Linked DNA regions of Caenorhabditis elegans. The protein of the gene in region 1 purifies or fractionates together with the protein of each later gene. This does not show direct contact. Each region holds a gene or a part of one and is shown on either strand. Other genes may lie near its edges.

Region 1 (3,758 bases):
ATTCAAGAGGAATTGGATTTTGCCAGATTTAAATCATATTTCGATAGATATACAAGAACTCATTACAATCCTGAAATTCGTATTATCTTTGCAATAATGACTAAAGATTCTTCTCATATGACGGTTGAATTCCATGTTACATCACAATCTTGGTTTGGATTCGAAGATCATTTTCATATGATTATCAGAGCGGTTAATGTGAGTTTTCGCGAAAAATCTGACTTAGAAATATGAAAATTTCAGGACGAGAATGTCGGATGGGGAGTTCGTTATCTGAGTATGGCCTTCAATTGCTGAATAGAGATTGGTTCATTCGGAAATATGGAAAGCAAAAATAAAGCACATAAATATATCGAACAGATTAGTTAATGTTGCATTGTCCGTACACAATAAATTATGAATTGTTTCTCTAGAAAGGTCGATAAAATCACTTCAAATCTGCCACTTTTGCCTCGAGAAGCTTCAGCTTTTCAACCACTGACCCGATTTCTTGCTTTCCTTGGGACTGTAATTTCAATAATTTAATTTGTTTATATTCCTCGAAACAATTAAAAAACACACCTCATACTCGATAATCGCTTCTCTTCCTTGCGCGACTTCCTTTTCGAGTTTTTCTCTGATAGTTTTCAAATGTGATAGTCCACCGGCAAAGTGTTGAACTTGTTCGTGAAGACGGTTCAATGCTTTAACCTTATTAACATTGCTTGGAAGAGATGAGCAAGCGACATCCCATTTTTGCATAAGCTCCAGAATTTCATCAACTTTCTTGTCAAGATTCTCGTCGATATCATTGTTGGCGCGTGTCTCGTCGATTTTTTCAAGTTTGGTAAGCATCATATTCAAACGTTGTTCAAGACCGGAGACATACGAATGATTAAGCGTTTCGCATCTCAAACATTTTTCATACGTTTTTATTTTTTTAAATTTAAGATATCTCACCTGAGTTTGAGATCTTCAATGGTGTCAAGTACGGGAGCTGATGGAATAACCGAACTTCCAATAACTTGTTCGATTCTTCTCAACCTATTTTCAAGAGTTGCCACTTTCGAGTCAGTGCGAACATTTGGTAACTCAACATCATGCTCAACTCGTGCAGTTTTTCCATTTGACTGAGCCACTTGCAACGTTTTCACTTCTTTCTCTAGATTCTCAAGAACCTCAGCGTTGAGCAAATCCGTTTTAAGATTTTCATCAGCACGAATTTGTTCATTCAGATCGGCGACTTCGTACAAAATGCGATTCAGTTTTTCGGCTGCAGTCTCGGTTCCCGAAAATCCTGCACCAGTAACTTCCAATACGTATTGATTGTTTCCAAATGCGTGTCGCCGCTTTTTAGCAATCGAGTCAGAAAAATCTAAATTTAAAAAAAAGATGATAAGTAATATTATTTTAAAATTACCGCTTGAAGTCAAGTTCAGTACCCGGTTTTTGTACTTTTTGAGAGCTTCGTCAACGTCAACCGAAATCTGTAAAAATCAGAATTCACTAAATATTTATATTATTTAAATTAATTAAATACAAACCAGTTCGATATCCGGATGAGTTGGATTGTCATTTTCAGGTTCACTTTTTTGAACTTGACTTGCAGCTCCGTCAGACTCGTAGATATCTTCTTTTCCAATAGATGACATTTTGACGCAAGATTTGAGAGTTTCTAGAAAACAGAATTTGATTTAAAATATTTAGGATCAAACGGCAAAAATTTAGAAAAATGAATAAACAAAATGTATGATAGGTTAAAGTAATAAATCGTGCTAGAAACATCAAAATGGCCGTGGAATTGATTGCGAAACAAGTAAATTAGATTGTCCGAGAGGACTACACACAACAATGAGTTACTGCGCTCTACCGGCACGTATTAGAGATTAGAGGCGACAGAGTTCAGTTTTGGCAAAAACGTTCGATTGTTCGAATTTAAACAGTTTTATTGTATTTCGTTCTTTTTATTTATTTTTCTGTAAATTTATTAAATTTTTAAGTTTCAGATGTACTCAGCAAATAGATCTCATCGCGCTGAAACAAGAAATCGCTCAAAAGATGAACTCCGAAAGGTAAACAATCAACTTTTCCAAAACTAAACTGATATTAAGATTTTCAGGTTATCAACTCATTGGAAAAAGTTCGTCGGTGGGAAAAGAAGTTAGTTCTTATCAAGGACACAAATATTCGGATCTACAAATGGGTTCCGGGTAATTTTTTATTTTAACACGTATTTCGGTATTTAGAAACTATTTATATATAAATTTATATGAAATACTTTTTTAAAATAGTAATTATTAAAAAAAAAACTTCACACTTATATTTTTGATACAATTCAATGACTCTGCATTATGAATTAATAACATATTCTGCTATATAAAAGTTTTGAATTTCTCAAAAAAAAAACCAAACTTTCAATACAACTTTTTCAGTGAGCGCTCAAAACATAATGGCTCCTCCAAAGATCAAGGAAGTCAAAGAAGTGGATGAGGAGAGCAATCAAGTCCCATCTGCTGAGAATTCCCAGGATTCCACCAGCGTTACCCAACCACCACCACAATTCGATATCAACGAAGATTCCAATTTTTCCACTGGCGATCACTTTGATAGTGACTCCAATCAAACTTTCGAGCCACAAAACTATCAAGGTGGAGCCACTGGTTCAACGGATTTCAGTTCGATGCGCGACGCTGAAATGACATCAAAACAACCATAAAATCTTTATCTAATGATCTCTAATCTGTACTCATTTTGATTTCATGTTGTATCATATAATCCTGATTCATTCCGAACTTTATCTCATTAATTCAAAAATTTTCATGTTTCATCACATTTATTTTTAATAATTTTTTGTATTCACCAGTTAAAATAACAAGTTAAAACTTTAAATAAAACCCATTTCAGTGCTGTTTTTACAAGTGAATCTGCCATTGAGAGATTTAAATCTTAAAAGATGAGTATCAAAATAGTAATTGTTGCATAGATCAAAGAAAAATGTGAAGAAGAAGAATTCAGAACAAGCTTCTCATTGCGAGGGCAGAATCCGAAAAAAGATTGTAAAGGTTGGGGATATCCATCAGCAATATCAAATACAGATCGGGATGAATTCATTCGAAAAACTTGATTTCCACGTAGAAGATGAATTTCTTTTTCATAAGTGAAGGCAGAATGTACTCCTTTTGGAACTCTCGCCCAATTCAGATCAGTATCTTTTGGATACCTTTCATCAACTCTTCGATGATACATTTTCTCGTCTAATTTCCAATATCGAGATCCTTTCCAAATGTATACAGCAGGCGGACTGAAATGGAAATTATATTTGATTTTATTAAGTTGTGGTCCTGAACGAACCTTTTCAGCTACCGTACCCTCAGAGTAGTTTCTCAAAATGTATTATGTACCGTCTTTTTGGAAATATTTAAATAAATGTTTTTTTTAAACACCAAGATAATCTTTCAAAGTATCAAAGTAAATCGGTGAAAAGCTGCTAAACGATCGCGGGTACGATATCTGAAAAGTTTCGTTCGTGCCAAGACCCGAGTATTTTTGATTAGCAATGTGTTACGTTTTGGTAACATTTCAAACTTGAAACAAATATGTTAAAAAGTAACGATTTTTCAAGTTTACGAACTTTCGAATTTTCGCTGAACCTACAATTATCATTACTCAATATTTATTTTTTACTAACTGCTTTGATTACTCACTTGAAATAATGCCACTCATAAGCCAAATCCACGTATTTCTCATTAATTCCGATATCCGAAAGTCGAAGAGGTGCG
Region 2 (3,387 bases), on another chromosome or scaffold:
CTGATTTCGCATGGTTAAGAACGTGCTGATTCCCGAATTTTTTGTAGATCAAACTGTAATGGGACAGCCTGGCACTATATGAAATTTATTGGGATGCAAGTACGCTCCACTGATAATTGATTTCAAAAAAATTTTAAAAATACTGATGCAAGCGCGCTCTACTGGTAATTAGCTGTAATTTTGGATTACAACTGCGCTACATAGAGATTTTGGGAAAATTTTGAAAATTACCTTGCTGCAAGCGCGCTCCATCGAGAATTACTAAAAATTTTGGAAAAAAGTGAGGTGTAAGTGCGCTCCACTGAGAAATATTCAAATTTTCGTAAAATCTAATAATGCAAGCGCGCTCCACGGAGAAAAGTTCAAATTTTTTGAAAAATCTAGTAATTCAAATGGAGAGAAAACTATTTTTCTTGCGAGGAAAAAAATTGGAAAAAAACAAATTTTCCAATTTCCCGAAACAACGTCATCATCTTGCCCACTTCGAAAAGTCGATAATTGCTGCCAATTCGTCTTTCTGTCTAACAAAAAACTTGTAGAATTTCAATTTTTACAGGAAAACAAAGAAAATAAAAATAAATTACAATCCAGCGAAAAAATATTTAATTATTTAGCTTTTGCGTTGATTTTCGTCTGCAGATCCAGCACTTTTTCGGTGATTTTTTGGTTGATCATTGACCGCTCGGCGACAAGTGTCTGGAATTCTCCGTAGGTTCTGAAATTTTGGAAATTTCAGATTTTTAGGCTTTAAAAACTGCAATTACTTGGTCCAGTCCTCCAGGGCCTTCTCGTATTTTTCGATTTCAGCGTCAAGCTCCGGTTGAAGTGCAGCCACTTTTGAGAAGAGCTCCTGGTCGAGGCAGGGCTGAAATTTTTTATTTTTCTTCAATTTTCTCTGAAAAATCGCAAAAAAAGACCTCAAGAGCATCTGAAAATTGTTTAATCCGTTCCGCTCGTTCATTGATCAGCTTTTCCGCGTATTTTACAGACTCTATTTTGTCAGTCAGCGATCCATATGGGCCGGATGTCTGAAAAATCGATTTTTCACAGAAAATTCAGTTTTTCCAACGTACTTCCGTGGCGATTTTGCTCAAATGCTCCAGCTTTTGAATGGGAATCGACATTAGCAGATTCGCCTTACAATCATCTCGTAATTTGGATTGAAGAGCCTCGATTTGAGAGGGAATTGATGTTTTCTGGAAAAAAAATTGGCATTTTTATTGGAAATTGCGCGAAAAAAGCTTACCGTGGTGAGATCATCGATTCCTAGAACTTCTTCAATTTCAGAAATCTTTTTTTCAAGCTCGATCATGTCCATTTTCAGATTTAAAATCAAAAGATCGAAAAAGAAAAATAATAATTGAGAAATTGTGTGCAATGGGACGTGACGGTGTCAATGCGTACTTTGCATTTTATTTGACGCGCAAGTGATTTTCAGTGTGGAAACTAGGATATCGCCTGCAATTCTACATTAAAATTGTCTGTTTTTTATTAAATCTTAGTATGAAAGCTTAAAACTGAAAATTTTCATCGAAATTTCTTGTTATTTCCTTAAAACAGCTAAAAAAAGGATTCTTTTGTCCGCAATCTACCGTGGCGGTGTACCTGCGGAACTGGCATTTAAAATGACGAGCAGGGAAAATTAATTAATTCTTAAATATAAATTTTTAATGCAATTTTAATCTGTAAAACATCAAATTAAAACAAATTAAATTATTTATTTTTACCAAATTACAACAGAGCAATTTTTTAAAATTCCTATAGCTCGTCCCTAGTCCACTCCACGGCCGTGAACCCTTTCTCTAGCTCTTCCACGTCATCATACCGCTCCAACAGATTCAAACGAGCAATTGGGAACTTGAAGTTTTCAATGAGCTCCTGGCAGTGAACTGGCTCCAAATTCCGAACCCATGAAAGAATTCCAGTGAAATTGTCGTTTTCAGCGGGTTTTGTGTGGATGCACCATCCTTTTTCCTGGAAAAAATGAATTTAATTTGAAGTTAAAAAGTGAAAGTACCTGTCGCCGAATGACAATATAGCTCGGGGAATTCACATTAAAAACGCTCATCACATACAGTCCAAACAGGTCGAAACCGGTTACAGCCGAAAAATGAGCAATTCGATCGCCGCTTTGCTGCTCGGCAGCAGATTTTTTGAATCCTTCAGAATTTTTAGAGTCCAGTGGGTCGAAAAATACGACCAGAGGCTTCTGGGTTCCGGTGGCGAAGAGGAAATCGGAGGGACTTGACAATTGATGACAGCCCGGGTGTACACCGTCCTCCAAGTAGTCGACCATTCGATTCCAGTTGAGATCCTTATGAAGTGTGAAGGCTTTTACGAAGGGGTCATAGGGCTTCATCGTGATGAAGGCAGGGTAGATGGACCTGAAAGATCGGGAAATTTGAAATTTGGAAAATTCGAAAATTTCCAGGAAAAAAAAACCAATTTTTCTCGTTAAAATTCAATTTCTTCTGAAAAAAAATACATTTTTAGCCAAAATCCCAGTTTTGGGTCTTGGCACGAACGAATTTGGCTATCGTGTGGGGGTACTGTAGTTGGAAAGTTACGTTCGCGGCAGGACCCAAAAAGTTGCGATTACGACTAAAAACTCGGACTGGCATAATATTTTTTCGATCAAATCCATGCTTTGGGTCTTGGCACGAACAAAACTTCTCAGCTACCACGTGGTGTCAGAGTGTCTCCTTTTTGATCTACGTAGATCTACAAAAAATGCGGGAGAAGAGACGCAGAGTTCTCAATTGATTTCCCATGGTTAAGAACGTGCTGACGTCACTCTTTGCTAGGGGAAAAATTCCTGGATTTTTGTAGATCAAACCGCAATGAGACAGCCTGGCACCACGTGAGCTACCATGTGGGGTACTGTAGTTGGAAATTTTCGTTCGCGGTAGGACCCGGAAAGTTACGGAAAATCAAATTTTGAACAACATTCTCCACCAATTCTTACCATTTCTTGACCTCCTCGGACACCAGCGCTGTCAAATGGAACCGCCCGTGATTTTCCCGCGCAAATTTCGCGTAATTCCTCCAAATCTGCGACTTTTTCGTGTCAATAAACAGAATTGTTACGGTTTCCCGCGCGCGATCAAATCCTGGGACCATTCCACTACGGTAGCTCGGCACCAGCTCCTCGTTGAGCAGTTTTACCTCGGGTTGCTTGGTTCTGGAAGAGAAATTTCATTTGGTGGCCGAGTTTTATCCCCCACGGCCACGTCAAAATCTTACGTCAAAATCCAGTCATAAACCTGATCCTTCTGGAATTTTCCACGGAATCTTGCCTCGAGATGATCGTCAAAATTATCTAGTTTGAACGAAAAAAGCGTCGGATTCTCATCGACTCCGTGAGCCCAACAACCAGAGTTTTCACTG

The links. Proteins that work in one complex are often made in the same cells at the same time.
Region 2: the proteins of dnc-2 (region 1) and dnc-3 purify together in Caenorhabditis elegans (affinity purification with western blotting; 2 studies listed by BioGRID, with this or other methods). This does not show direct contact.

What each region holds. Positions count from the first base shown.
Region 1 is NC_003281.10:5,924,101-5,927,858, forward strand, and holds dnc-2 (putative dynactin subunit 2), read right to left. Parts: upstream 1,655-3,758; 5' UTR 1,632-1,654; coding exon 1,524-1,631; intron 1,467-1,523; coding exon 1,400-1,466; intron 1,355-1,399; coding exon 940-1,354; intron 890-939; coding exon 562-889; intron 506-561; coding exon 428-505; 3' UTR 298-427; downstream 1-297. Other genes in the region: C28H8.2 (uncharacterized protein), read left to right, coding at 1-198, 244-297; bcl-7 (BCL7-like protein), read left to right, coding at 1,986-2,051, 2,099-2,189, 2,412-2,695; zmp-1 (Matrix metalloproteinase-A), read right to left, coding at 2,926-3,280, 3,684-3,758.
Region 2 is NC_003280.10:3,551,767-3,555,153, reverse strand, and holds dnc-3 (DyNactin Complex component), read right to left. Parts: upstream 1,375-3,387; 5' UTR 1,319-1,374; coding exon 1,247-1,318; intron 1,197-1,246; coding exon 1,074-1,196; intron 1,029-1,073; coding exon 918-1,028; intron 866-917; coding exon 765-865; intron 716-764; coding exon 607-715; 3' UTR 537-606; downstream 1-536. Other genes in the region: W10G11.19 (DUF4105 domain-containing protein), read right to left, coding at 1,759-1,974, 2,018-2,384, 2,966-3,181, 3,244-3,384.